6 linked regions of the Coturnix japonica genome follow. The protein of the gene in region 1 purifies or fractionates together with the protein of each later gene. This does not show direct contact. Links are inferred from orthologs where the notes say so. Each region holds a gene or a part of one and is shown in the gene's direction. Other genes may lie near its edges.

The links.
Region 2: the proteins of TOP2A (region 1) and SRPK1 fractionate together in Homo sapiens (co-fractionation; 3 studies listed by BioGRID and IntAct, with this or other methods). This does not show direct contact. The link is inferred for Coturnix japonica from reciprocal best matches to the Homo sapiens genes TOP2A and SRPK1.
Region 3: the proteins of TOP2A (region 1) and TOP1 purify together in Homo sapiens (co-immunoprecipitation; 4 studies listed by BioGRID and IntAct, with this or other methods). This does not show direct contact. The link is inferred for Coturnix japonica from reciprocal best matches to the Homo sapiens genes TOP2A and TOP1.
Region 4: the proteins of TOP2A (region 1) and E3 SUMO-protein ligase ZNF451-like purify together in Homo sapiens (affinity purification with mass spectrometry; 3 studies listed by BioGRID and IntAct, with this or other methods). This does not show direct contact. The link is inferred for Coturnix japonica from reciprocal best matches to the Homo sapiens genes TOP2A and ZNF451.
Region 5: the proteins of TOP2A (region 1) and CTCF purify together in Homo sapiens (affinity purification with mass spectrometry; 3 studies listed by BioGRID and IntAct, with this or other methods). This does not show direct contact. The link is inferred for Coturnix japonica from reciprocal best matches to the Homo sapiens genes TOP2A and CTCF.
Region 6: the proteins of TOP2A (region 1) and PARP1 purify together in Homo sapiens (co-immunoprecipitation; 3 studies listed by BioGRID and IntAct, with this or other methods). This does not show direct contact. The link is inferred for Coturnix japonica from reciprocal best matches to the Homo sapiens genes TOP2A and PARP1.

The regions. Positions count from the first base shown.
Region 1 is NC_029542.1:4,100,492-4,105,159, reverse strand, and holds part of TOP2A (DNA topoisomerase 2-alpha), read left to right. Parts: intron 1-168; coding exon 169-314; intron 315-560; coding exon 561-658; intron 659-836; coding exon 837-1,049; intron 1,050-1,246; coding exon 1,247-1,420; intron 1,421-1,528; coding exon 1,529-1,630; intron 1,631-2,009; coding exon 2,010-2,147; intron 2,148-2,299; coding exon 2,300-2,438; intron 2,439-2,667; coding exon 2,668-2,825; intron 2,826-3,211; coding exon 3,212-3,337; intron 3,338-3,564; coding exon 3,565-3,675; intron 3,676-3,762; coding exon 3,763-3,868; intron 3,869-4,260; coding exon 4,261-4,370; intron 4,371-4,668. UniProt on the Homo sapiens protein: Key decatenating enzyme that alters DNA topology by binding to two double-stranded DNA molecules, generating a double-stranded break in one of the strands, passing the intact strand through the broken strand, and religating the broken strand.
Region 2 is NC_029541.1:489,041-493,708, reverse strand, and holds part of SRPK1 (SRSF protein kinase 1), read left to right. Parts: intron 1-3,582; coding exon 3,583-3,701; intron 3,702-4,554; coding exon 4,555-4,663; intron 4,664-4,668. UniProt on the Homo sapiens protein: Serine/arginine-rich protein-specific kinase which specifically phosphorylates its substrates at serine residues located in regions rich in arginine/serine dipeptides, known as RS domains and is involved in the phosphorylation of SR splicing factors and the regulation of splicing.
Region 3 is NC_029535.1:4,132,912-4,138,305, forward strand, and holds the start of TOP1 (DNA topoisomerase 1), read left to right. Parts: upstream 1-1,919; 5' UTR 1,920-2,108; coding exon 2,109-2,141; intron 2,142-2,615; coding exon 2,616-2,640; intron 2,641-5,394. UniProt on the Homo sapiens protein: Releases the supercoiling and torsional tension of DNA introduced during the DNA replication and transcription by transiently cleaving and rejoining one strand of the DNA duplex.
Region 4 is NC_029518.1:79,213,137-79,217,804, reverse strand, and holds part of E3 SUMO-protein ligase ZNF451-like, read left to right. Parts: intron 1-1,555; coding exon 1,556-1,690; intron 1,691-2,380; coding exon 2,381-2,511; intron 2,512-3,403; coding exon 3,404-3,590; intron 3,591-4,668. UniProt on the Homo sapiens protein: E3 SUMO-protein ligase; has a preference for SUMO2 and SUMO3 and facilitates UBE2I/UBC9-mediated sumoylation of target proteins. Plays a role in protein SUMO2 modification in response to stress caused by DNA damage and by proteasome inhibitors (in vitro).
Region 5 is NC_029526.1:1,444,429-1,449,096, reverse strand, and holds part of CTCF (transcriptional repressor CTCF), read left to right. Parts: intron 1-692; coding exon 693-841; intron 842-2,972; coding exon 2,973-3,134; intron 3,135-3,545; coding exon 3,546-3,728; intron 3,729-4,138; coding exon 4,139-4,274; intron 4,275-4,668.
Region 6 is NC_029518.1:14,814,152-14,819,414, forward strand, and holds the start of PARP1 (poly [ADP-ribose] polymerase 1), read left to right. Parts: upstream 1-2,094; 5' UTR 2,095-2,177; coding exon 2,178-2,297; intron 2,298-2,990; coding exon 2,991-3,153; intron 3,154-3,472; coding exon 3,473-3,591; intron 3,592-4,628; coding exon 4,629-4,843; intron 4,844-5,263. UniProt on the Homo sapiens protein: Poly-ADP-ribosyltransferase that mediates poly-ADP-ribosylation of proteins and plays a key role in DNA repair.

The DNA.
Region 1 (4,668 bases):
CTGGAGGGCTTTTTGTAGACTTGCCCTCCCTCTGCTGGCTGCTGCCGCAGTTGCTGAACAGGAATCTGTCTGTAGATGAAATGGTGGCCTTCCTGTGGAGATCTTGTCTATTTGTTTCAGAGCTCAGTCATCTGCAGCCTTACAAATTATACTTTCCTCCTCCTCCAGAGAGAATAACACCATCAGTGTGTGGAACAATGGGAAGGGTATCCCAGTTGTTGAACACAAAGTAGAAAAAGTGTATGTTCCTGCTTTAATCTTTGGGCAGCTGCTGACATCCAGCAACTACGATGATGATGAGAAGAAAGTCACAGGTAGGGAACACTGCAGAGCGTGCAGATGTACCTGGGCAGCCTGACTGTGTGATCTGGGAACTGAAGTACCTATATGAGTAACTGGTGTTAATTAAATGCAGCTTTATAGTGGCTGCAGGGTTTGTGGGACAGTTTATTGTTAGTCATACTTGGTGCTGAAATGAATGAGCTCTTGTTGGTCTGGAGTTCTCTCTGGTGGTTTTGAGCAAAGGTAACAACTCAGACATGTTTTCTTCCTGAATCCAGGTGGGCGAAATGGTTATGGAGCCAAACTGTGCAACATATTCAGCACCAAATTTACCGTGGAGACTGCGTGTCGTGAATACAAAAAGCTGTTCAAGCAGGTATGAACACTGCCCATTTCAGTGAGGTCACACCTGAGATTTGCAAATATGACTTGAGTTTTTCCTATGTGAATCTAGGTGTCATTGCTGTGACTAGAATTAACCTGGTACCTGTTAGATACTGTGCTGCTTTCTTGTGTTTGTTACACTCACAACTGACAACAACTCATCTCCTCAGACCTGGACAGACAACATGGGGAAGGCCGGTGAAATGACACTGAAGCATTTTGATGGGGAGGATTACACGTGTGTCACCTTCCAACCTGATCTGTCAAAGTTCAAAATGTCGATTCTTGACAAGGACATCGTGTCCCTGATGACAAGAAGAGCATATGATTTGGCTGGGTCATGCAAAGGAGTCAAAGTTATGTTGAATGGGAAGAAGTTGCCTGTAAGTGAGCATTTAAATGGGGGAACATCTGTGTTTCTTATGACATTTACCAGTGAAGTTTTGTTGAAGCAGTTTATGCCATTGCACATAATAAAATGAAAGCTTGCCAAGCAATTTTTCCTCCTGGCTTTGCAGGGGGATGTGCATTAAGTATTTATAGGAGCTGTTACAGATGAGTTGTCTGGTTTCATTTGTAGGTGAAAGGATTCCGCAGTTACGTGGACCTCTATCTGAAGGACAAAGTGGATGAGACTGGAAATGCACTTAAGGTTATTCATGAGGAAGTGAATTCCAGGTGGGAAGTGTGCTTGACTTTAAGTGAAAAAGGATTCCAGCAAGTTAGCTTTGTCAACAGCATTGCCACCACAAAGGTGATTCTTTTGCTCCCGTGCTCACATTCACTTCATATTCTTTGTTGTTGGCTCTGTGTTTTGGTTCAGTGGAGTCACCTCAGGTTCTTTGGTCCCGTTTTCCCCCAGGGTGGCAGGCACGTTGATTACGTAGCTGACCAGATTGTGACTAAACTCATTGATGTTGTGAAAAAGAAGAACAAAAATGGAGTTGGAGTGAAACCGTTTCAGGTGCGATGTCAGAATTCCCAACTAAAGAAGCCCCATATATTCCAGTTTAAGCCACCAAGCCATATTCCCTTTGTTTAGCTGCAGCAATCAGAGTGCTCTGGGTCAGTAAGGAAGCATTACAGCTCAGTAGCTGTTAGGTTTTCTTTAGTGGGAGGGCTGCTGATGTCTTGGCACCCCAAATCATGTAACTTTGTGAACACTCATTAGCTGTCCTAAATTCTGCCAAAAGACATCTAGGAAAGTTCAAAAACCACGCAGCAATAATTGAACTTGTTTTCCTCGCTGCATGATGCTGACAGGTGATTCTCAGGAAGAAAACACTGCTGTTCCAGGGAGTGGAGCCTGTGCAGTTTGTAATGCTCGTCTTGTTTGCCTGCAGGTGAAGAATCACATGTGGATTTTTGTGAATTGCTTGATTGAAAACCCAACCTTTGACTCTCAGACTAAAGAGAATATGACTCTGCAGGCCAAGAGCTTTGGCTCGACGTGCAAGCTGAGTGAGAAATTTATCAAGGGTGTAAGTATTGGTGTGTGTGGATAATCAGCACGTCTGTAAAGCTGCAACTAACATGGCAAATACATGGCTTACAAAGTCATGAATTAAAGGAAAACATAACTTAAAGCTTTTCCCACTGTTGATTTTGTTCTGTAATTTTGTTGGCATTGCAGGCAGTTGGCTGTGGCATTGTTGAAAGTATCCTAAACTGGGTAAAATTTAAAGCTCAGACCCAGCTGAATAAGAAATGTTCAGCTGTGAAGCACACCAAGATTAAGGGCGTTCCTAAACTGGATGATGCCAATGATGCTGGTAAGTATTTCACATCCTTTGTAGCCAGTTTCTTCAGAGATAACATTTGCTCACCAGGCAAATGAAACAATCATCTAAAGAAAACGCCAGCTTGTGCTCGTTTTGCATTGCAGTTTGTGCAGTGCAGCCAGACCTGTATATTTTATGGTGTCTCCTGCAGCCTGTGCTATATTAGCCTTGACTTCACTTCTTAATTGGAAGACTTGGGTTTTTGCTTTTTGTTTTTCAGGCAGCAAGAATTCAATAGATTGTACACTCATCCTGACCGAGGGAGACTCAGCCAAAACGCTGGCTGTCTCTGGTTTAGGAGTGGTTGGTAGAGACAAATATGGAGTATTTCCCCTTCGTGGGAAAATGCTCAACGTCAGGGAAGCTTCTCATAAACAGGTTAGTGGGGAGACCTTAATAGCCTGTGCTGGGAGCTGTGGTGTGCTTCATGTCATGCAGTGTGGGTACAGCTGAGGGCTTTTGATGCTGTAACTCAAAGGTGTGGGTCTGGTCTCACGTTCAGATTGCCTTTCTGATTAAGCAGGAATACTAAGCAAATCCCGGGCAGTGCTTTGCATTTGTGCTGTGGGCTAGGAAATGTTCTAGGAAATGTTTGAAATAGCCCTGAGAAATTTAAAGATTAGACACTGGGTTGGAATTAATGAGATGCTCTAAACAGAGGAAACTCTGGGAAGGCAGAGCACGGTTAGGGGTGTACAGCCGATGGGTGTCTTTGCTGTTTTGAGTCTGGTAGAAAAGTTTTTATTCCTTGTGATCTTTTCCAGATAATGGAAAATGCTGAAATCAACAACATCATCAAAATTGTGGGTTTACAGTATAAGAAGAATTACGAGGATCGAGAATCTTTAAAGACTCTTCGCTATGGGAAGATCATGATTATGACAGATCAGGTTAGGCTCACTGAAATTCAAAACTGGAGAAATTTGTTCACCACAAATGTGTCTCTTCCTTCTGTTAACTTTCAGTACTCAAAGCGTGGCTGCTTCTTTGGAACTGAAAGTTAATAGTTCTCAGTAGCTGGGTTTGTGTGTATCCTCATTATTGAACTAACAACTGGCACGGCCATCAGGGCTCTGGTTAAACTTGTACTTCTCTCCAAAATAAAACCACCAAACAGGATCAAGATGGATCTCATATCAAAGGTTTGCTGATTAACTTCATCCATCACAACTGGCCTTCTCTTCTAAGACACAACTTCTTGGAGGAATTTATTACCCCCATCATAAAGGTAAGGGCTGAGGAGGTTGGAAGGTGAGGGAATAGGATCATGTTGGACCACATCTGCTTTCACAATTAACATCTTCATTCTCTTTAGGTCTCTAAAAACAAAGAAGAAATTGCATTCTACAGCATTCCTGAGTTTGAAGAATGGAAAAACAGCACACAAAACTACAACACATGGAAAATCAAGTACTACAAAGGTTTGTAGGAAACCTGATATGGTGAAGGCAAGTTTGTTATTAAACTTAGTTAGTCCAGCTTCTGCAGAAAAAAGGGGGTTTGGAGCAGGTGGCCTCCAAAATTCACTTCCCTCCTAAACTGCTCTGAATGGCTGCATGCTGGTAAGGGAGCTGCCAGCTGCATAACAACAGCCGGGTGGTGAGGAATCCAGACTAAAAGTGCAACTGCCCAGTTGTCTTCAATCCCCACTACTTCTGTGATACCTTACATCCCAGCAAAGGTTTTAATAGAACCATCTTCATGCTGTGCATTTATGTGATGTATTACGGAAATTGGATATAGTAATGCCTTCCTTTGAAGTGCAACTTAATTGAAGCAAGAAATTAGGGCTGACTAGTTGTTGGTTCTGCAGGTTTGGGTACCAGCACATCGAAGGAGGCAAAGGAATACTTTGCAGATATGGCTAGACATCGAATTGGCTTCAAGTACTCTGGTCCAGAAGATGATGCTGCCATCACCCTGGTAACTTACACTTGACTTAATTGCTGATTTACTACCTTGAGTATTTTGCTGCGTATTTTCTCTTAAAATGCTCTCAGAGGCCTTTGGGCCTGAGATGGTCTCTTTGTTACCAAGGCTACAGCCTCAGTTCAACCAGTAGAAGCAAATCTGTCCACAGACCTCAGGCCAGGAGCACCCTTTCAATGATGGCTTTTAAATATAGCTCAGAACAAACTATAACCACTACAAACCAATTGACATTTTCAGACACAATAGTAAATATTCCTTCAGCATTATTCTGTGTGTTTACCTGCAGTTT
Region 2 (4,668 bases), on another chromosome or scaffold:
GCGGTGCAGCAGCACCACAGACCCTGGTTTTCCCCTGAGTGGTCTGTACTGCTCCCCATGGTTGCGGTCCCCTGCTTGTCTCCCTGTTGTTGTTGGCTCTGCCTCAGAGCAGATCTGTAAGAGCACACATTATGCGATCAGGGCTGCTTTGTGGTTTTTGACCTCATATTTTAAGTGTAGCCCAGGCTCTGTGGGAGGCCGACTAGTGAAAGCAAGGTGTGTTTTCTCAGCTCTTTGAAAACTTTGTGAGAAACAAGTGACCAAACTCTGAGTTCTTCCAAATTAGTACTGCTGTCCCTGCAGTGCGTTGTGTCGTTGTGTGAGCTTGTAGAGTGCAAACTTGCCCGGTGTGCTGCTGGCTGAATGGAGCTCTTCTGAGTCTTGGTTTAGAAGCACAGAGCTGGCTTCAGAATGCCGCTCATAAGAACCATCTTGTAGCAGAGCTCTGCATCCTTGCTGCTAATGTCACACTGCTGAACTCTCCCGTATCACACAAACAAGCAGGATAATCAGGCACAGGAAATGTCTGTTAATACCCTTATGTTGTTGGAAAACTGTGAAGCGGTTCCTATGAAGAATGCTCAATTTTCTGCGCTTTTTTTGTTTGTTTTTTGAAGATCTGGTGAAGATTTGTCTCCTCTCCCACTTCTTTGTACCTTTCGAGAGTAAAGGGTATGTTTTTCTTGTAGCTCTGCGGAGCGAGATTTGGAATTACTTCAGAAAATGCCTTTTTCACTTTGAACGCCCTTGCTATGCTGTATCAAAAGGGTTGTGCTGTCGGCAGCCACCCCACCTCGCTGTCTGTCCCTGCTTTGAATCCAGGGGTATTAAATAGGCAAATAAAACCGGCTGGTGCAGGAAGATGAAGCATCTGCCTAAATTCCTAATTTCATTTGAGGGAAGATGGAGACAGGTAAACATCAAGAGGAGGAGATGAGTCTCTCTGAGCTCAGCCAACCCCCGACATGATTGAATTTGCAGATCAGCTGGGAGCAGCCCCTGGTCTCGCTGCAAGGCCATTCACCTGCAATGCAGTGCTGTGCATCTGCAGCTAGGTGGTGGAGGCTGATCCCTCTCCTCCCTCCTGCACAAAGCTCGGCGGCGCTCGGGAGGAACCCCTCGGCCATCCATGTCCTCCCCTTCCTCAGCAGTGCCATCCCATTTTTAATGGCTTTTTTGAAAACTGCTGGGCTGTCTTCAGGGATATCTGTGTCAATGGGAGGCCGTGCTTCCTGCAGGTGGGTTACCCTCATTTATTTCTGTCTCAGGAACTGCAGTTCTTTGGGCTTTTCTGGGAGGATGAGGACTTTTTGGGGGGGGAGGGGATGGTCTCTGGAGATGGGTTGAGTTCCATAGAAGCTATCATTCTGCCTTAGCATTCCTATCTTCATCAAAATACCACTTTGTAGTTGTATAGTTAATTCTGGTGATTAATTAATACACTGGGGGAATGAAAGTAAAAGGTGATGGAGGTGTTTTCAGGGAGAAAAAGTGCCTTAAAATGTTTGGTTTTCTTTTTCTTGGAGGGTATGCTATTAACCATCTTTCTGTCCCTAAAGGGTTTTAAGGTATTTATCTGTATCTTGTAATACTGCTGACAGCAGTTTCAGCTGTCATCTTTAAATCCAGGGTATGGATTTTCCTGCTGTCCTTAGCAGCCTTTTGTGTCTAGCAAAGCCCTACCTGTGCATGCAGGTGAGGGCTGTGATTTTGTGGATTTTTTTTTCTTTGGCATTAATATATATCTACACTGAGGAAGGCTCCTTTAATCCATATCTGCAGTTGATGTGGTCATGCGAGGGGCGGGTGGTGGTAAGATGTAGTGATGTCTGATGGATGTTTGCCGCAAGGCAAGGAATGAGGTATGTTTTGGAGGGGATTCCTTAAAGGAGGTAGCACTGTCGATATGCATGTGAGCAGGGCTCTGTACCACGTTATGGTGTAAAGGGTTGTAATATATGAGAAAAATGCTTCATAGGAATTTGTTCTGGATCCCCAGGACAGGCTGAGCTGTGGTCTACCATTCTCAGTCCCTCCAGGATGAGTGCAGAAAGCTGAGCAAATGGGTGCAGTGCTTCCAGTAACTTCTGCTCTGGTGCATGAAATCCCTGTCATTGAAAAGCTTTGGGACTGCAGAGCAGCACAGTGTTACGTCTGCATCAGTGATTCTGAATCTTTTGAACCCATTCCTGTTTGCAAGACCTTGCAGCCATAAAGTGAAAGTCCTCAAACAGCAGAATTACTCTGCATTACTTACGCTGTGGGTGTGGCTGCTGGGCTTCAGTCCCCCTTCCTGGCCAGTTCCTTGTTCTGGTTCTCTTTTCCCTGTTTGTAGGATTCTGTGCATGTTGGCATCCAGTCTCCCCTTCATGCCTTTGCTACCTGCTGTGATTCTGGGGCAGCCAGCGGCTGTTTGCAGCTCTTTTGTTCCTGGAGAAATGCAGCACTTTTCAAGAAGATTTTTGTCCTCCAAGATGTTTTTTTCTTTTCTTTTTGTCTTGTAGCTCTATGGCTTACTGCTAAAGCAATCCAGGTATGAAACATCCTGTGGCTGGATCAAGCTATGGGGCAGCTGATAAATGACTCAGCCTGAGAGCAGTGGGATGGTGGTCGGTCTGTCCGGCCAGCAGTCCTGGTGTAAGGCTCAGAACCTCTCATAGGGTGCCTGTATCGTCAGGCAGGTTGGACTCAGTGATCTCTTGATGTCCAGTCCAGCACCTCCAATTCTGACCCACTGCCTGCTTTCTTTCCTGAATCTCGCACTTAGCAGGTCTTGGGTACTCAGTGCATTGTGGGGCAGTGTGGTTTTATCTGGGACCGCCTTGTGGCTCCTCTGTGATTTAATAAACTTCAGTTCCTACTAGAAATGGTTACATGTTCACTCATGGTTCTATTGGAAAGCGTGGGGCTTTTTTTCCTTCTTTCTGCTCTGTAGGTATTGAAGATAACTGCTGTTTTAATGTATAGAAACAGATGGTACTTGATGTATGAAATCACAGCAGGGTGCTTTTAGTAGGCAAATGCTGAACGTGTAGCTGCTAAAAAGTTGTGTTCATTTCTGTCATTAGTTGATACAACCGATATGACCTGACTCCAACTCAGGAGCTGCAGAACCTGCATCCCAAAGCCCACGTGCATCCCCAGTACCTGCTGGGGTAAACTGCAGCTGTCTCAGAATTTAATCCTCCCTTGAACAGAATGAGTTGGATTTGAAATAGGGTTGTGTATACCTGCTACTTTGCTGGAAAAATAGCCTCAGTACAGGAAACTTCTGCTGATTCACACTGATGGAGGCTGGGGCTATGTAGAGGCAGCAGGATTGCTAAGTGCTGAGCTTTTGTCTGTCTGACCTTTTTTTTCTTATACTGTAAAAGTGAATCTGGAGCCTTAAGGTGTCATTCTTTCTTGCTAGCATATGAAAAACTGTTTCTCCTTCAGCAGTAAAAGCATGTAAAAATGAAAACTGTTTTTTTTTCTGGAGGCCAAGGAGTACGACTTCTTCATTATTTACCACCTCTTACATAAGAAGCGAGGTACCGAGTTATGTGTAACATGTGACACACAGGCCGTGTCCTCTTTCAGAGCCGACCCTCAGCACCGTGGCCCTGCTGCTCACTCTGAAAATGATCTTCCAGAGCAAGAAGAAGAAATTCTGGGCTCAGATGATGACGAACAAGAGGACCCAAATGATTACTGTAAAGGTATGAACTTGCCTGTTTAAGGTGTGGCATTTCTAATGTAAGAATTTCCTTTGTTTTCCCATCTGTTGCGGACAGTTAAAATTAGACCATCTCTTTGATTATATTAAGCAGTTTTTGAAATTGGATGAATAGAATCATGTTTCTCAAACTAACCTGAAACAGAAACTGTTCTTCAAGATTGCTTTTGTTGTCAAGGTTTGGTTGGGTTCTTAATGTATGTCGGCTTCTCATCTGTGTCAGAGGGCTTTTCCAAATCAGTAGAAGTAGACATCCAGTTCTTTTTCATTAGAAAAAAATGATATTTTGAGCTAAATTTGAACTTTCATAAACTGCATTTTTCGAAGGTTGGTAGCCTCGTGAAACTCAGAATCGTTCTTTGAGGAAAGTGTTTTGTGCTGCTGCCATGATGAGCTGCACTAAAAATGAGAGGTTGGTCAGGTTGCTCTGCCCAGAGCAGTGGTTTTGCCCTGTTGCTGGAGATTCCCAGGGTCAGGGCTGGAGGGGCTCTGAGCAGCTGATGGAGCTGTGGGCCTCCCTCTTCGATGTGGGGAGTGGGATCAGATGGCCTTTAGCAGTCCTTTGTAGCCCAAACATTTCTATGTCTGGTCCTCCTAGTTTGATTATGTTAAGATATTTTTCAGTCCAACTCTAGGGCTCAGCACTGCTCTGCCTCTTACATTCACACTTACATTCACACACAACCCAATTATATAAACATTTGTATTTCTGTATATGATTATAGATTTTTAAACACATGAAGTACGTATACCTCGAGTTTGATGCTTGTTCCACATACCTGTCCTTCAGCACTTGTGTGATCCCATGTCATACCAACTTCCCACTGTTCTCCCAGGGGGTTATCACCTTGTGAAAATTGGAGATCTCTTTAATGGGCGCTACCATGTGATTCGGAAGCTTGGATGGGGCCACTTCTCCACTGTCTGGCTGGCGTGGGACATCCAGTAAG
Region 3 (5,394 bases), on another chromosome or scaffold:
AGCAGAGACCACAGCCTTTACTGAGACATGAACTAGAAACTGGGCAGCTTCTTTTGCGTCCAGAGTTCATCTGGCTGGCTGTCAGCAGAGTCCTGCAGAGCACAGTACTGAGCCTCTTGTGCCAGTTTGGATGCTCCCTTTTGCACCCAGAAGCGTGCCTGCAAAAGCCCCTGAAGATGGCAGCTGCTACAAGGCAGAGTGATCCTTTCCTCTGATCACAGCCCGCTGCAGCACGGTGGGTGTTGCAGCAGCTCTTTTTCATGCAAGGCCACCTGAGCAAGGTTTCTTGGAACCCTGGAGATATTTAAGCTTTAATGCAACACTGTTGTTTCTTATGGCTATTAGGAATTTCTAATGCCTAAAGTGAGATGTGTGAGGCTGTGCTCAGGCTGTCACACATCACAAGATACAGCCCCTACACCTCTGTGTGGCAGCGAGGATAGGCTCAAACCTTTGGCTGTTCTGAGAGCAAAGCCTGCCATCATCTTGTTCCTGTGAGCAAAGGGCAAACACCTCTTCCAACAGGAGAGGTGTCTGAAAAACAGCCTTTCCATTGTGTTTATATTTAAAAACCTAACAGTGACTTAAGCAGTTTGCATAATAAACACGTCTAAATCAAGAAATATTTGCCTGCTCTCGGTGAAAAAGGAAGTCCTCAGATCCTCTTCTGAAGACTGTAAGAAAGTGACAGAGCTTTCCCTTTACAGGGTATAAATACGCAGTGCAAATAGGTGGCTGCTGTCTCTGCTTACATGTTGATGCGTCTCTTCAGATAGCCTGGCAGCGCTGGATTATTTTAGCGTCAAATCAAAGCTCAGGATGTGTAAAGAAGCTGAGGAAAGGTACAGTGTGTGTTGCAGCACAGGATGGCAGCTGCAAGAAGCCTGGAAGCAATCCTGTGAGACACATACCAGCCACGCATACTAAACCTGCCATTTAGTACATCGAAAAGGATCTCGGTTCAGCAGGGCTGCTGCAGAACAGAAGCAAATGCCTTCAGATTGAGGTCGAGGCAGGGGATTGTTCTCTTAGGAAGGTACATGATTCATCCTCATGTTAGCTGAGAGAAGATACAGCTTTTGTTTCCTATTTACTCTCAGTTTCCTTGTGAGAGAAAAATAAAAGGCCCGTTTACGCTGGAAGAAGAATCACGCTGGCTGATGTTCCTCTTTAAAGCAGGAAGCTCTCATTTGCAATGCAGCATCGCTGTCCTTGACTGTAATGTCAGCCCAGATCCGTCTGATCTGCATCCCCCCCTCAGCACCAGCTGTGTGTGGATGCAGGGCATGTGTACAGCACTGAGCACAATGTAATCTCTGCAGGGTTACTGCAGCCTCTGCATTCCAGCCCCACACAACCCAGCACTTGCTGTGCCCCTGCTCCATAGCTCATAGCTCATGTTCAGGCTGGACAAGCCCTGCTAGGCCACGCAATGTACAGCAGGAGCTTCCCGTGGTGCCATGAGGACACCCCGCCTGGGCGCCGCCATGTTCCCCTGACAGCCCGGGGGCGTGGCCTAATGGATGGGGGCGGTGCTTAACATGCAAATTAACCCTGCCGCCGGGTGTGGTTAGGCGCATGCGCACTCCGCTCACAGTAGGGGACGGCTTCTTACACAATGCGCCGGGCTCGTTGCGAGGCGGGGAGGGGAGCGGAGGGGCGGGGCTAAGTATGCAAATAAAGAGCAAGGTCGTGTTGCGCGATTGGAGGATAGGGTGGAAGGGGCGGGGCTACGTGTGTTTTACGAGCGCGCGGGCGGGAGCGAGCCAATCGGCTGCCTTCGGAGGAGTGGACGGGTGGGGGCGTGGCTAATATGCAAATATTCTAACGGATGGGCGGGGCCTATTATGCAAATAACCCAACTGCCGTTTCCCGTCGGCCGTCCCTCACAGCGCCCGGCTCCGCCCCGCGGGTAAAAGGCTTCGCGCTTGCGCAGTGCGCCGAAACCAGGACTTAGTGTCTGTTACACAACCGCTGAGGAGCCAGGGGCTGCGCTCTGCGTCGCTTCCCCGCTCCGCGCGTCCCCGGCGGCTTCAGCTCAGTTCTGCTCCTCTCCGCTTCGCTCTCCTCCCGCTTCGCTCCGCTCGGCATCTCCCGCAGCCTCCGGTATGAGCGGGGACCAGCTGCACAACGACTCCCAGGTGAGTCCCGGGGGAGTCCGGCTCATGGCCCTCGGTTCCCATCGCGGTGGGGCCCTGAGGAGGCGCTTCCCCTTCGCTCCGGCCGTGTGGGGCCCGTACCCGGCTGTGTGTGATCCCCGTCGGACCCGCTGGGACTCGCTGTCCCGGTCGGTGCCGCTCGGCTGGGGGCTGAGATCCCTCAGGAGGGGGGGCTGGTGTTACCGGTTCTTTCTGCTTTCCCCCCTTTAACCCCCCTTCCCGGCTGTATGTTGCCCTCAACACCCCGCTCCCACCCCCCCATCCCCGGGGCCGCGTTCCGCATCGTGCCGCTGTCTCCTCGTTTGGTATTTAATTTTCATGGGGGGGGGGGGGTGTTAAATAGAAGGGGGGATCCATACCCGCCGTCCCTCCCCCCGAATTCATCGCTAAACACACGCGGCCCCCCCTCCCTGTTCGGCTTTTCTCACGTCCTCTCCCTGTCTCCTCTCCCCGCAGATCGAGGCGGATTTCCGAGCCAACGGTGAGTGGGCCCCGACGCGCCCCGCGCCGCGCAGACATGGCGTCCCAGAGACTAAGTCCCGGCTCCGCGCTCACCGGCCCCATTGTTCCCATCGAGCCGCCCCCCGCGCCCCCTTCCCACCCTCCCCGAACCCCCCCGACCGCCTCTTGCTTTAGAGGGGGCATGGGAGGCCCCCGATCCGTCCCCATCGGTCCCTTTTGGGTTTCCTTTAGGCCCCGATTCCTCGCTGGAAAGTCGCCGTGTCGGCGGTCGGGACTTAGTCTCTGCGCCATTTTCTTTTTCTCCTCTCTGTGGCTTTCTCTCCTCCTCCTCCTCCCCGAGCTGCCGCCGCGCAGCCTTCCGCGGTAAGGGGGGGTTGGCGGGTGGCGGTCCCCGTCCCCATTCCTCTATTAACCGAGGGGAAAGCGAAGTTTTTAGCTAAAATAAAGCCCAGGGCCGTTTTTATCGCAGCCTGCCCCCCCCTCACCCCCTCCCTTCCTCCACGCTTCTCTGTTCCTTTCAGGGAATCCCTCCCTTCCCCTAAAATGAAAGGTGATTGCAACATGTTGCTCTTTTTTCAAAAGAATCTGCCGCATCCATTTTAAGATCCTTCCTAGTTTTTCGCCTCCCCGTTTAATTGATGGAAGTTCACCTTCTTGGGTGGGGCTTTTTTAATTAAAATTAGAATCCCACGTTAGGGGAAAAACGGGACGACCAATAGAAGACAACACAGGCTGTGTAGGCAATTCGAGAAAGGTAGGCAGCATTGCTTCTAAAAGTTTGCAGCTGGAACTGTGCATTTCGTTTAGAAACACTGTAGGAATCCTGATTTTTTTATATATATATTAATATATAGCTCTTGTTTATGTTCATATATAAAAATCCCTTAGCGAGCCTGATAAGAACTGCTGTTTTGCTGGTTTATTTGGTGTTTATTTAGGATGCTAAACCCCCTCCCTGTGCTGTTAGGGGACAAATCAAAGGGTTTAAGCCAGGTGTCACCTAACTGTGTGTTACCGTCCCACTGTTGGGGGTGGTTGAGCAGCCCCCCATCCTGGAGAGGCAGAGGACAAACAAAAGTCAATTGAAGATATCTTTGTTTTACTCGGTGCTTTCTTATAGTGATTTCTGGGCAATGCCCACGTGCCCTGATAGCTCTGAAAGCTGCTATCTGTAAATATTTACAACTCTACCTTAGCGTGCAGCTTTCTTCCTGTCCATGCGTTGGATTGTGGTTGTGTGTGTGAAGGATTTAAACAGTTTTGAACTTTAAGTGGTGATCACAGAGCTCTGTGATTTTTTTTTTAGCAGAGGAAAAAGGCAAAGTGGGTTTTTCAAGAGCTGCAGTAGGAACTGAAGCAACTTCAACACCAGCGTGTATTTGAATACTTGTAGCATTCTTGTGCTGGGAAATATTTGCCTAAGGATCGTGTCTATTTAGGGGAAAGAGCTCCCTGGAAAGCTCAGTGATGTGCTGCTTTACGCAGGGGAAGTGATGCACATTGACCCTTTCCAATGAAGCTCTTTGGGGTATTTTCTCCTCCATTCTGACCACGTACCCTTTTATTCTCACAGTGTTCTTTGTCATTTTGTGGCTGATTAGAAGCCCCTACAGTCCCAAATCCCCTTCAGTGCTGGGAGGTGCATGTAACGCTGTTAGTGTTGGTAGGGGAACAACACTGATTAGACACTGTCCTCTCTCACCTTGCGGCCAGGGCTGACCTTCCTGAAAACCCATCACCTCTGCTCTCTTAAGGCTCCTGTGTTGGGTCTGAGAATAGCAGGTCTGGTTTGGGCACAGCGCTGGGGCTGTAGCTTTTATATTCTTGTTCTGATCCTATCTAGTGGCAAACAACAGAAGTGGGTGGTGGGAATCTCAAGTGCATTTCCCAGGTGTTTAGAATTGGTTTGTACTTTAGTTATTGTCAGACAGCTCTTAGCAGCAGAGTCTAAGTCTCATTTTAGGCTGCCTTGTGCCTCTTATGTTTAGGGAGAAGGGAGGTTTTTCTGAGGGCTGACTGATTCTGAATGTTGAATGTAAGCATTGATCTGAAAGCACTAAACATTTTGGTTAACAAGGACTGTTTTGGGTGAGTTCTGATTAGTGTATCAGTAACAGGGCAACTTAGGCACTTCAGAGCTTCCTGTTGTTACAAATGTCTCGTATTTAGGTCAGTGCCCATGCTGCTGTGATGGCACAAATTGTTGCAGCTGAAGGAGGGCGGGTGGAGGTGATGTGCTGGCTGATTGCAGGTCTCAGGAGGGTGCTGGCTGCAGTGAAGGGCTTGCATTGTGTTGCATACCAGTTTCATTGACAGGAGGGTGGTATTAGGGATGAGAGAGGATGTTACTTGTAAATATGTGTTCTTGGCTATTTCTTAGCATTGAATAGCCAGATCGCTTTGGCTACTCCAAGCAAGAGTGTCCTGGGCAAGTTCCAACCTGGGTAATTACATTCCATCCCAATATCCAGATTCTCCCTCCTGTTTAATTTGGCCACAGAGGGTATTTTTTTTTCACCTTAACCGTATTTTCAGTGGTGGAACAATCTGCAAAGAATTTTCCGTGTTCAGTCTAAGGGCGGCTGTTTGCAAACCATTCTGTGCTGAAGCAATGAGCTTATTTTGCAAGTAACATCCTACAGTCTGAAGCTTGAATAGAAGGGATACAGTAGCCTAAAACTGTCATTTCCAAGTACAGCTTGGTCATTGAAAATGACCCCTTCTTCACAGAAGTGAGCGTTGAGTCATAACTCTGTACTCGAGTACAAGAAAA
Region 4 (4,668 bases), on another chromosome or scaffold:
TATACCTTATGAATTATAAGTTTTGAAAAGAGAAAGCGGAGAAATGTTTCAGTCCAAAGGCTCTCAAGTGTAATTTTTCAACTTACTTGGGAGCATAATTTGATGATAAAAGGAGAACAACAATTCAGGACCCTGAGTGGATATTGAACTCCTAGAAATGTGAAAGTGCAGTAAAATACCCACACAAGGAAACTTTGCTCCTTTGTGTGTATAAATTGGTGAGGCTGGAGGTGCTTTCTGTGTAGGCAGTCCTGTTATTACAGCGCCTTTTCACTTGTGCCTAGCTTGCAAAAAAATAATCTCAGCTGAGAATTTCTGTTCACAGTATGAGTTCACCATGAGCCAGCAGTGTGCCCTTGTAGCCAAAAAAGCCAATGGCATTCTGGGGTGCATTAAAAAGAGTGTGGCCAGCAGGTCAAGGGAGGTGATCCTCCCCCTCTACTCTGCCCTGTTAAGGCCTTGTCTGGAATATTGTGTCCAGTTCTGGGCTTCCCAGTACAAAATAGACAGGGATCTCTTGGAAAGAATCCAGCGGAGGGCCACTAAGATGGTGAAGTGCCTGGAGCATCTCCCCTATGAAGAAAGGCTAAGTGAACTGGGTCTGTTTAGCCATGAGAAAAGAAGACTGAGAGAGGACCTGATCCAGGTCTATAAATATCTGAGGTGTGGGGGGCAGACTTGGGAGGCCAGACTCTTTTCAGCAGTGTGTGGAGACAGGACAAGGGCAAATGGGCAGAAACTGGAGCATAGGAAGTTCCGCATGAATGTGCGCAAGAACTTCTTTATGGTGAGGGTGACGGAGCACTGGAACAGGCTGCCCAGGGAGGTGGTGGAGTCTCCTTCTCTGGAGATATTCAAGACCCGCCTGGACGCCTACCTGTGCGACGTGGTGTAGGGAACCTGCTTTGGCAGGGGGGTTGGACTCCATGATCTCTAGAGGTCCCTTCCAACTCCTGTGATTCTGTGAGTGGCTTTGCCTGAAGTGTCCATGCTTAAATTTTTTTTAATTTGTGTCACTTCTGAGAGTGACGTCAGGAATGCCAAAGGTGTATCTTTGGTGTACAAAAATTGGGAGTATTTTTAATTTCCCACAGTGTCATAATGCTTTTGATTAATATACAGCAAAAAGTATGTTTCTAAACATTTTATGAGCTATTATGGTTTTAAGCAATATATTATTGTAAATTTGCCACAGTAGGAAGAGCATAGCTAAATGTTAAGTATACTAATGAACATGTCAGTGTCTCAGTTAAGTAGCTCTCTGTGTCAACTATCCAGTTTTACGTCATCATACTGCTAGATTCTACTGTCAGTTATGTCAGTTATCTAATTTAATTATTACTTTTATCTAATCTATTTATTACTAAATGATACTTCAGTTGATTTAAAAACAGTGCTGAAACTATGCAGCCACTAAATAGGATAATGTTTTATGACTTTTAGCTTACATAGTGGGTTAATACATTAATTGTTTCAGAAACGTGTCTGAATTGATTTATGTTTGTTGACCGGAAAGTTGAATAAACTTAAAGTGTTCCTATTTATCTCATTGAAGATAGTGAACTTCCAGATCTCGACTACTTGAGTACCATGACTCACATTGTGTTGGTGGATCTGGACAACTGGGGAAGCTTTTTCACACAGCTGCCAGCTAACCTGAACCAAGGAACATTCATCTGGGGATTTCAAGGTAAAGTGATCAAAGGAAGAACATAGGAGTGAGTTTACATACATGTTTGAGCAGAGATTCCTTGAGAGAATTAAAAGTGATTAGCCATTAAATTGGTCTCAATTTGTATTGAGGAACATGTTAGTCTTTCATTAGTGTCACAAGGATTTTTGCAAAGCTTAGGAGTACTAAGGTTCATGGGGACCAGAACAGTAGTTTGTGGAGTTATCGAATGCACACAATTCCTGTTCGTTTAAATACAATGATATCCCAGTCTCATGTTTTTCTGCGCTTTCCAAACAGCACAACTGACTGTTGTTTTTTAACGATACGTCTTGAGTTATGTCTGTTATTCGTGTTTTTGTGGTTTTTTGTTTTTTTTTTTAATGCAATCCTAGCTTTCCTTTCAGTTCCCCCCATTGTATTGACCAGGTTCTACGTTGTTTCTGTTCTCAGACATTCAGTTTTCTGTCACTCATTTTGTAGTCCACCTCCACTAGTGAATCAGGCTAACTCCTTTTTCGTTTTTGGCTTTCTAACCCAACAGGGGCTTTGGGGCTTTTGGTAATGCAGTTTTTCCAGCTGTCACATTTGACAAAATAAATTTTGTCTTTAAAGCCAGTTTTACCTTTTACTTTTGCCTTGCATTCTTAATATATGGTGACACTGCTATCCTTTTTTGTTTGTTTCTTTGTTTGATTGATTGCTTAGGAGGATACAGTAACTGGAAACCTCCAGTGCAGTGCAAAATTTATAATTATCTCAACAAGATCGGATGTTTCTTCCTTCATCCGCGTTGTGGGACCAGAAGAGAAGCAGCAGACTTTGCACTCTGTGTTCATGTAAGTTAGTGTGTGCCGTCTTTATTGTTGTTTTAGTGTGAGAGAAGGGTGGCAGGTGTTGTATGCCATTGACATTAAGTACTTATTAGCTGTGAGATTCACACAACTTCTGTGTCCACTAAAAAGGATTATAGAACCATTGCTGAACTGAGTGGAGACAGTGTGTTGAGAAGCGATTCTGAAGGAACCCCCTCACACCTTTGGGTAACCCTGAATGTCATACATTTTACTCTTGCCATATGAATTGGAATTATGAATTGAATTATGGATTGCATGAAGACCACACAACATAAATTACATCGGTAAATATAGTAAATATAGCTGTCAACATCACCCTGCCCTATGCTCTACATTTTCTTTCTTTAGGAATACAGATGTAATTCCAAGTAAGACATATAAGACATCAGTCTGTTGTGAAAAGGTGGGAGCTGGTTAGGAAGTGAAGAATTAAAAAAAAAAAAGAAAGAAGAAAAAAGAGCTTAAAAAACAGATGTTACAGTTTCTGTTTCAGAATGAAGTAAAAACCCTGAATCTGGAGCTAGATGGCCATGGGTGGGTGCCAGCTTCAGAGACCCTGCTGAGCTGACAAAGAGCAGTGCCCATGTTGAGTAGACCTAGGGCTTTGGGTTGGGAGATGTGTAGATGAGGGGCAGGAAGCTGGGGTATCGTGAGGACTCCCCAGTGCAGTGTTTAAAGTTTTATCAGACAGCTTGTTCTAGTGCCTCACCATCCTTTGAGTAAAAAATAACTTTCATGGTAGTATAAATTCCATATATAATAAAAGTGGAAGTAAGTTGCTGTAGATTTTCCTACAAAAAGTTATTACACAAAGCTAACTAATGCCCACTAGATAAAAGTGCAGTCTTAACATCTGTTGTTTGTTTCCTTGCAGGCTGGTCGGCTGGATGAGCGTCTGCCCAAGCAAATTCCTTTCACTGTACTTTCTGGAGACAAAAGCTTCCTGGAGCTGGAAGCTCAATTTAAGATGACTCAGCGGTCAGTTCGCATTCTAAATCCCCATCACATCGAAGGAGACATGATGTGTGCCTTGCTAAACAGCATTTCAGATACCACAAAAGGTAGAAAGTCAACATCAAATGAAATCTAGGTGTCAATAAAATAACTGAGCTCTTGTGCTGATGAAAACAAGTTGTTGCTTGGTGCTTCTTGTATTGTGTTGCAGTGAAATGCAGCTCAGAAGATTGATTTGCTTGGTACGAATTTTGAAACCAAACTTAACTTCCCATTTTTGTTCTGTCTAACAAAATCTGAAACAAAGAGTTATTTCTGTCTGAAACCTCCTTTTTGTCTGAAGAGGAGCTGTTTAGAGCTCTGTGATGTGCTTACTTATTGATTTCTACTGAAATCTGCTTTGCTTGGTTTGTGCTCTGAGACAGCTGTGACCCTGCTCAAGCCATTGCTATTTCCCAAAATCTCTGCCTGTTTTAACTCTGATTGTCCTGCATCCAAGCGCTGACCTCCAGTCACTTGTTATTTGTCTTCACTGGCTCGTGGCTCACACCCCTGTTTGGAGGAAAAATACCCATGAAGGCCTTTAATACTCTAATTAATGCCATGCTTAAGTGATTACGCTGTTTTTATATAGAATAATCAGAGTTTTGAACAACCTTATTTTCATCCAAAGGATGCTGAGGCTGAGATGTGTTTAAATACTTCCTAATATTTTAAAACATCTTGAAGGTTTCATAAAAGAACTGAATTTTCCTATTTATAATTTTCCTTCAGGTGTTCTTTTCATGTGCTCCACTGTGTTAATATCTAACATAAATATTATGGTGTTGGGGACTGTTGAGAGGCCCCAGGCTTGAACTTACTGACTGCATGGTCATTGTGCATGTCACTAATGTTGTATGTGTGCTTGTTACCAAAAGATCCCAGCAATTATAAGCAAGAAGTTGCTGGAATCTTATGCGTCATGTTCCTGTGCAAACCCACAGTGAACAGAATTGTCTTGAGCCATTCCCAGGTCCCTTGTGCTGTCAGTGTCAATGGGGTGGAACCCAGGCAGTAAAAATTGCCTGTTTTCTCTGTTCCTGTATTAAAACAGGACGTTGGAGAACTCAGTTTTGATAACAGGACTGTGTAGTCAGGGCAGTGAGTTGGTGTCATGGCCAAGAATCTATGAAAAGTTTAGAA
Region 5 (4,668 bases), on another chromosome or scaffold:
GTTGGAACTACATGATCCCTTCCAACCCAGGTAATTCTGTGATTCTGTGATACACCATAATTTTATACAGCACCAGTAAATACTAAGCCATCGGGAATTGCTACCCTGAGAAGTGAGCTTGGAGGATTCCAATTTCACTGTGAGGTAATAAAATACAGCCAATTGTAGTGAGCTGAGGAGAAATGTCTTCCCTTATTAGTGCTCCAGTTGAAGATGAGCCATTTTCAGTCTCGTGCTGAGCATAGCTGCAAAAGCATCTCATGCGTGTAGGGCATAAAGACCCTCAATTTTTTCTTTGATGGAAATAGCAGCTGTGTTTAGCACAGAGTGTTTGCTGAAATGCTGGGTTGATTATATGGCTAAAATTGAACCGGGGGGAAAACCTCACCTGTAAATTGAGTGTTCAGAAGCCCCCCAGAAAATCTGCCTCTGCTTGCTGTCTTCTGGCAGCCTGCAGTAGGTCCTCCCTGCAGTTCCTCCCAGTAAGGATATTAATTTAACTGCTGTGCTTGAAGAGTAGACTTGAGTTTCTTGTAGAAGATGCACACAAGAACAAAAAGTTCTAGAGAAAGAGACTGAGTTACTATTTCTACCTTCTGTCTGTTGCAAGTTACTGAGAGCTCGGGGCTTCTTGGTTAGATTTTCTTTCACTGAAAGTACTTGTGCTATTTCTTTTCCTTCTGCTTCTGTAGGAGAGAAGCCATATGAATGTTACATCTGCCATGCTCGCTTCACTCAAAGTGGTACCATGAAGATGCACATTCTGCAGAAGCACACAGAGAACGTGGCCAAATTTCACTGTCCTCACTGTGATACTGTTATAGCGAGAAAGAGCGACTTGGTACGTAGCTCAGAAATGTGCTCATTTATTGGGAGTGCCATGGAAGCCTTTTCCCTGAATAGAGTTCATTTGACCAACTGCTGTCTGCTTTTTAACCTAACTGTTCTGGTAACTAGAAAATGAAGCACAGGCTTAGACGTGGGGCTTGTAATATGTGCTTAGCTTCCCATAATTGCTGCAGACTGAGATTGTTCTGTTTCTTTTAATTATTTGAAAGTGTAGGATGTGTTCCAAGCATACAAGGCAAGTTACTATTTTCAGGCCCATAGGTGGGAACTGAAAACACCTCTTAGACACAAGGCATTTACTCAGGCTAGCATGTGGATTAGGTCTGAGAAACTAAAGGTCAATTGACTTGACCTCCTGTGTATTGGGAGGCTGTTATGTTTATCCACATGCATCTTCACCCAGCTAACGGGCTTGAATGTGAACAAATACTTTCATTTTCCAGGAAGTGGAGCTGTGTGCTACAGACAGAAATAGGAGAGACAGAATTGCCACAAAAACCTGAGTCCTTGCAGTAAAGAAAGTGTTTTATCTAGTGAGCAGTACCCAGTGATTCCAGCAGGCAAGCTCTCTGATGTACAAGAAGGTGAAAAATAATGTCAGCCCAGAGCAGCTGAGAAGGAAGAAGCACCATTTGGCAGAACTTTCAGTCTGTAAGCAAAATATACAACCACGTAATGGAAAGGCAGGCTGTCTTCCAATTAAAAATGAATGTGGAGTGCTACAATGAGGGGGCAGCCAACTGATGTCAGGGTGTCTACCAGAGCAGCTCGGACCGATTACAACAGAGGGGAAAAACTTTGATGTTAGCTATGAAGAATTCTTCTTCTGATAACCTTTTAGTCTACAACAGGCTGCTTTGTGCTATGCTCTCAGTTTGAGTGTTTTGAAGAAACCACTAAAACCTCTGTTGGGGATTATCTGCTGGTATCCCGATTGCCTTCCAGCCCTGTCACTCCGACTTCTAATCCTGCAGAAAATCCTGTTTCTGAATGTTATTACCTGGCTTCTGGCTGAATTCGGGCAATTCACAGTAGAGGATTCTTAAGTGGCTTATGAACTGTTTTAATTCTATAATCTTTGTGTGTTGCATAAGCATTGCTAGCAAAAAATCACATTGTACTGTCCTCCAAGAGAGTCCTTGTGGATGTATGCTGACAGAAGCAGACCTGGTGTCACAGAGTCAGAATGACAGAATGACCCGGGTTGAAGGGACCTCAGGATCATGTAGTTCAACCCCTGCCTAGTAGGGCCACCCCAACATACGCCTTTACTAGATCAGGTTGCCCAGGCCCCGTCCAACCTGGTCTTGAACACCTTCCAAGGACGGGGCATCCACAACCTCACTGGGCAGCCCTGTTCCAGGACTAACCACCCTTCTAGTAAAGAAACTTTCCCCTAACATCAACCTAAATCTTCCCTCCTTCAACTTAAAACCATTTCCCTAGTCCTGCTATATCAGCCCTTTCGAAAGTTTACTCCCCTCCTGGGATAAGTTCCCTTCAGGTACTGAAAGGCTGCAATGAGGTCACCCCGCAACCTTCTCTTCTCCAGGCTGAACAAACCCAACTCCCTCAGCCTGTCCTCATAGGGGAGGTGCTCCAGCCGCCCTGATCATCTTTGTTCTTTTTTGTACTGAGGGCTCCACACCTGGACACAGTACTCCAGATGGGGCCTCACATGAGCAGAGTAGAGAGGGACGATCACCTCCCTATCCCTGCTGACCACCCCTATGTTGTATCCCTGTTGTCTGCTCTGTTCTGAGGCTAGCATACACTGTTTGAAATATCCATTTAAGGAGCTGCCTTTTTGCATATTATTTGTTAAATGATGTGATACAACATCAAACCCTTTATCTCTTGGAAGCATGCTGTACCAACAGGTTGCTACCAACTACTAAGTCTAGAATCTTGTGACTAAACATGACCTTTCTGTCTATAAATTGTTCTGGCTGCTTTTATTTGTGAGTTTTAATTCTTTAGTACAATTCTGAATTAATGGTTCACTCTCCTGACTTGAACCCAAGAGTATGTGGAAGGGGGATTAGTGCTAAGGGACTGCAGGCTAAACCTTTCTGTGCTTGGAAATCCATGGTGATGAAAGCTTCTGATTCTTTTTGCTCCTAGGTGTTCATTTGCGAAAGCAGCATTCCTACATTGAACAGGGCAAGAAGTGTCGCTACTGTGATGCTGTATTTCATGAGCGCTATGCCCTCATACAGCATCAAAAGTCTCACAAGAACGAGAAGCGCTTCAAGTGTGACCAGTGTGATTATGCATGCAGACAGGTAAGTTGTGCTGCTGGCACCCCTTGTGAGCTTCAGCTCACAAAACATGAGGGGAGGAATCTTAGCTGCGAAGTTGGTCTGGCTGTCAACATCAAATTGGCTCTCCCTTTCTGAAGGGAGGGGGTGAAGGAAAGTTCAGTCTCTTGGTGTGGTGCTCACCTATAGGGAGCCCCTTCTAAAGGGGGTAAGGCACAACGCTGATGTATCTGTTGATAAAGAGCTGGTGGGAGTCCGTTTGGAATGGGAATAGCTAGGATTGAATGTGCTGTCAGTTAAGATTCCTGATTCCTGAAGAATCTTTTTCTGATAGCGCTCTTAACCCAAAGTTTTGGGCTCTTCTTGGCCAAAAATGAGCTCTTCTGTGTCTGCATGAGTTCTCAGGTTACTTTTTATGTCTTTCTTGTCCCTCAGGAGCGGCACATGGTCATGCATAAACGGACCCATACTGGAGAAAAGCCTTATGCCTGTAGCCATTGTGATAAAACCTTCCGTCAGAAACAGCTCCTTGATATGCACTTCAAACGATACCACGATCCCAACTTTGTCCCTGCTGCCTTTGTCTGTTCCAAGTGTGGTAAAACATTCACTCGCAGGGTAAGGGAATGCACTGTTCTGAATTAAGGTTGTTCTGTTTTGGAGTGGAATGAAAGCTGGTGGGGAGGGAGGGGGTGGAACATGAAGGATGACATGCTTCCCCACAGGGAAGGGTGCTTGAGGTACAGGGACTGTACTGACATTTTAAATAGAGCACTTGCTTCTTTCTGAGTGGACGCCTGATGTATTTCAGAACGAATACTGTCATTGTTTAGCACTGGGATCAAAATCAGTGTGAAAGTTCAACTTCATTCATAAAAGTTAAGAAAAAAAACCCACACACACACACAAAAAAACCCCACAACTACTAAGTTATTAAAAATATGTTTAAAAACATGGGGCTACAGTGCTTGATCTTGATTTCAATGCATGCTTTGTTTTCTTTTGCTTTCTCTTCTTCCATGGAGTAGAACACGATGGCCAGACATGCTGATAACTGTTCTGGCTTAGATGGTGGGGAAGGAGAGAATGGAGGAGAGACAAAGAAGGGCAAACGTGGCCGAAAGAGGAAGATGCGCTCTAAGAAAGAAGATTCCTCTGATAGTGGTAAGGAACAGAGCAGTACGTGCTGAGAGCTACAGATGTGGGATTCACTACTAGTTGTTGGTTTGCCATTTTGTTGGTTAATTCTGGTAACTGAAAGCTGTTTATATGGTTAGTAAGTAAAGAACAAAAGTAATAGTATATGTTCAAGTGCAGAGATGACTCCCTGTAGGGGATAGCACAGATTCTGCCATCCTGTCCTCTTCTAAAGGCTGAGTAGCTGGGAAGGAACAGAAAAACCTACTTCTGTTGCCCCTTGCCTTGGCTGCACAGCCCCTGTTCTTCCTGCTTCTGTGTGTGTTTGCAGTGTCCCAAAAGAAGCGGCGTGTTTCTCTGCTGTGAAATGTCCTGTGCTCCTACTTCTCTGCTGCAGGAAAGCATGTGGCATGTCTGAACA
Region 6 (5,263 bases), on another chromosome or scaffold:
TGAGGTAGGGCCTGTAAGGGGGGCAATGAGGATGTGGCTGCCAGTGTAACAGGAACTGTCCTCGCCAAGGGCCAAGTGTGGTGAGTTATGGGGTATCCTCCACTACCACTGCTCATTAGTTGCATTTAATGAATTTGTGGGATTTGCCACATAATGGGTGCTCAAGAGCCAGAAAGCAAATCCTGCTGCACACCTGGGCAGAGCTGCAGAGCATCTGAACAAATGCAAGCCCGGGCTTTGCCTGATAAAAAGAGGTGGTGGAATAAAGTCATAGAACCATTAAAATTGGAAAAGACTGCTAGTATTATGGCATGCAACCATCACCACCTGGTGAAAGAAGGTGCTTGGGAACTTGTGAGAACACAAGCTTCTGGACAGCATCCACATAAAAAAGCAGGCAGACCAGGATGGAGACTTCCATAGTTTTGCCCAAGGCCGACCAAATGGATACAGCTGACCCAGATTTGGAGGCCTACGTTCTGCTTTTTGCTTGGAGGTGGTTTTCCTGCTCATGTCAGCAGGCAGCAGAAATCAAGAAAGGGCCACAGGTGCCCACTTGGCCAGCACTCATCCATCTCCATCAGCATGCTGAGCATCTCAAAGGAAGGCCCCACAGTAAGACTTACAATGTCTTCCCTCTATTATGTCTCCTTATGATCATCATTTATTATGTATGAGTTTAACCTTCAAAGTCCAATGTGTTGTGTCCCTTTTAATGTTTGCAATTAGGAGAACTCTAAATAATTTTTCAGCATTGCTTTGCTCCAACACCTGCCTCTGGCGGTATGGTTTAATTAACCTGCCAGAAGAACAAATTTCCTCTTACCCTTTGTTTAATTTCTCACTCTCTAATTTCATCAAATAGTCATTTGTGTCTCAGTTGCCACATGGGGACTGTAAAGCAAGGATGATAGCACAGTATTTCCACCTGTGGGTAATGTCAGTGCAAACATTCTGATAATAACTGCGGCAAGTACCATGGCTGTGCTGGGCTCTATGGTATCAACTTTAGACTATGATCTTCCCTAGATGTACAAGCCACACCCCTATTATGTTGCCATGTAATTACTGAGATGAGGCTGCTTGGTGGAGTTCTCAGTCGGTTTGAAATCCTGCTTCTCCTCTACCAACCGCTCATTCCTCGCCTCTTCCCACATCCATTTTCCCATGCATCTGGAATGCTAAAAAAACAGAAGCTTATTTAAAGAAGCTTTCTAAAAAAGGGGGGAAACCATCAGAGCTGCTTCCCAGGGAGTTCTGTGCTGGATTGTAATGTAAAACTGCTCAGGACTGCTGAGGAGGAATCATAGAGCTATTAAGGTTAGAGAATAGCATTAAGTACATCACATCCAACCATCAGTGTGTCAGCTCCATGCCCGCTAACCACATCTCAGTGCCAGGCAGCTCTAGGCACCAAAACCCCACAGGAGCCATGGTAGGAGATACATTCTGTCCCAGAGAGTAGGATAATCCCTTTCATTTATACTGTGATACTATGAGATGCTGTGACACTCACAGAATCACAGAATGACCCGGGTTGGAAGAGACCTCAAGGATCATGTAGTTCCATTGCCTGGCAGGGCCACCAAACCTTTAATGTGGGCTGTATGGCTTTGCGTCCCATTCCCATTGGGGCGGTCTGGCTGATGTCAAGGGGTTGATCGCTGGCACAAAGAGGGAAGGCACAGCTGAGCCATAGCCACTTGTTGCACCTATACAGCTGCCTCAATGCAAGCAAGGTCATACAGCCATAGTGACTGTGTGCAGCACCGTGCAATAAGCAACATATCCATATGGACAGGATAAGTATCCATATAAATATCCATATAGATATCCATATAGATATCCATATAGATATCCATATAAATATCCATATGGGCAGGGTAACACGGCCCGCAGTGCCCCCACTCGTGCTGTGCTGCTGGCGCCCCCTGCTGCTGTAAGGCGGTATCACACCGAGCGGACATGAGCGCACAAGGCCCCGGCCCATTGATACCCCGCACCGCACCGGAAGGTTCCATGCGCCGCCAGACATGCCGAGTCGCTGCCCGAGCGGTGGATGGCGACCAAGCTGCGGGGCGGGCAGTGCGCTCGGCGCTCGGCTATTGCTGCCTGCGGTGGGCGCGCGTCGCGGCTCGGTTCGGCGGGGCCGCGTTGTGGTGTCGGTGGTGGTGGCGATGGCGGAGCCGGGGGACAAGCCGTACCGCGCCGAGTACGCCAAGAGCGGGCGGGCGGCCTGCAAGAAGTGCGGGGACAGCATCGCCAAGGACTCGCTGCGCCTGGCCCTCATGGTGCAGGTACGGCCGCACCGGGGCTCGGCTGCAGTGCCGGGGGCCTCGCGGTTGCCGCCCCCGGGCGCAGAGCGGCGGGTCGGGGCTCGGCCTCACGGTGCTGCGGAGCGCTCGGATCCGAACCGGGGGCGGCGGGGGGCGGCGGTACCGCGGGGCGACCGGTGGAGCCGATGGAGCCGAGCTGAGCTGCACGTGGCCACGTTTCATCCGCCTTTTGTCTGCGGGATGCGGCGCCGCGTTCCGCCGCACGAACGATGCTGAGCGGCTGTGGGCAGGGCCGCATCCAACCCAGCCGGCAGCTCCTCCTGGCCCATCTATGTATGGCCCGGGGCGCACGGAGCGGCCGGCTGTGTTACCGCAGGGCGGGCCTGTGCCCGCAGCACGCGGTGTTAGTAACGCCGCCGTTGTTTGGTGCCAAACCGCCGGGCCGTGCCCTTTGCTGGGTGCCGCAGCGCTGCCAGGCTGTGACCTGGCGGCTCCAAGTCAGCCCAGCACAGCTCTCAGCGGGCGAGGTGCTGCGGAGCTGCAGGGTTGGGCTGTGGTGCCGCCCTGCTGCAGGCTGGGATGTTCCCCTGCCATCGTGGGGACTCTGACACGATGGTGGCCCTTATGGGGCAAGGCCGGTGTTTACCCAAATACCCCCCACCCCGCTCGCTTGGATCTTAGCTGCTGCACCTCAGCCTCGTGTGCTTTTCCTAGTCGCCCATGTTTGATGGCAAAGTCCCTCACTGGCATCACTACAGCTGCTTCTGGAAACGGGCACGGATCGTGTCCCACGCGGATATTGATGGCTTCCCTGAGCTCCGCTGGGAGGACCAGGAGAAAATCAAGAAGGCCATTGAAACCGGAGGCCCTGGAGGAGGTAAGCAGAGCTCTGCTGGTGTTCAAAGCTGGAACCGTGCTCTGTCATCTCAGGCTGTTGTTACAGTTACTTGATGGCCATGTCCCTGCAGCAGGTTGATGTCAGCCTGAGGAAGTGTATTAATAATTTTAAAATTTAAAAAAATAGGAAATGGAAGCTGTCACTTTGAAAGAGGACTTAAATTTTGAGAGGGGTTCTGTTTTGAAGCAGAACACAGAGGTTTATTAATCCAGATTGCTAATAATCTGTAACAGATGGGGAGAAACAAACAAGGAGGGAGGGTGCCTTTTAAAGCTCTGTATTTACCTTTGATCTGCAGGAAAAGGAGGGGACCAGGAAGGAGGTGGCAAAGCGGACAAGAGCCTAACTGACTTTGCTGCAGAGTATGCCAAGTCTAACAGGAGCACTTGCAAAGGCTGCGAGCAGAAAATAGAAAAGGTAAAAAGCTTTTCTTTAGTTCTCCATCTCACCTGTTTTCCCACTGATCCCAGTTCAAACAGAAGCTTCTGCTACTGCATCCTGTATGTCCTGCACTTGGAGGGCAGTTGCAGAGCTGATTTTCTGTGCCTGAGGAACGGCTGCGTCTTGGAATACTGACATAAAGACATGTGCCTCAGGCACTGGAGCCCGGACTTCTGATCTGCTGATGCTTCCTTTTGCATGAGCATTACGGCAGACTGAAATGCTGCTTGCCAGTAGATTTGGTTGGAATAAAAGAGAGAGCCACCACTAACTGCCTTCTGCTTGTTCATGCACTGCAGAGATGTTAGCTGCTTCTTCTCCTTTGTTTCTGTGCAGTGTATAAATCAGACAAAAACAGCAGTACGTCTAATTAATGATGCTGCCCCATATTTCAGCCTGTCTTGTTGCCCTACTTTTAAAGACAATCAGCAAAGTGAAGCCGTGAGCCTCTGATAGGTGAGAATAGAGCTGCCAGTTCTGTGCAGTTGGTGAGGGATGTGTGACGGCGCTGGTACACTTGTGTTTCCAGAAGTGTTAGTGGCTGGGGTGTAGGAAGCATTGCAGTCTAGAAGCACTTAAGCCAAGTACTTCCTTGGGTATCTGAAAAGTAATTTCCAGAGGATGAGATTGTAGTAAAGATTGACTGATAAGGACATAAAGTCAGCTTTCAGAATCCCCTCCATGGGGCTTGGTGATGTGATCTCTGCTTATCTTTGCTTATTCAAGTTAACTGGCAGGGAGTTGAAGTTAAGACTACAGAATTATCTGTTTTAAGTGTTCTTTTTCAACAGAAAGTTACTTAACAGGCACTTTTTCCAGCCTAGGACAAGGTATTAGTGAAAGCATTGGAGCTGTAAGGAAAAGGCTTGGACAGTTGTTTCAGGCTTTGGTGGAGGGGCTATTGGCGTTTAGCAGGTGTGCAGGAAGCATCATGTTGATAACGAGCTTACTAACATCCTGCTTCTCCCAGGACAGCCTAACAATTGCTGTTGTGTCTTTTTAACCTGCCCCAGGGCCAGATTCGGATTTCCAAGAAGATGGTGCATCCTGAAAAACCACAGCTGGGGATGATTGATAACTGGTACCACCCGGACTGCTTCGTGAGCCGCCGGGCAGAGCTGGGCTTCCTCCCTGCATATGGGGCCACCCAGCTCCTGGGCTTCAGCATCTTGAAAGCTGAAGATAAAGAAACTCTGAAGAAGCAACTACCGGCTACTAAGACTGAAGGGTATGTGGGGAATGCGGCAAATCGTGTGATTTCGAGGAACAGTTACTTGCCCTCATATACATTTGTGATGAAAGGGTCGTGGATTTGTTATCTTAGTCTCAAAAGAATAGTGCTTGTAGGAGGATGTGGTCCTCTGGTGCCATTAAGGCTGGTAACAGTGAGCTGATTCCCCATCCCTGGGAGGCTGCAGTCCACTTATTCATGTGCCTGTTGAGGAAAGGCTGAGGCTGGCAGCTCTGACTTTGAGGGCTGCTGGGTTTTCAGCCATAAGTGTTGTGTATGCGATGCAAACAGATACGGGCTCTATGCTCCTTGTGTGGTGCTGTTGTCAGCCTTGGTTTCCTTGACCTAACCACTTATTACAGAACTGATTGGACATCTTATCTACAAGCTGCTGATCTGTGACATGCAGAGTCTGAT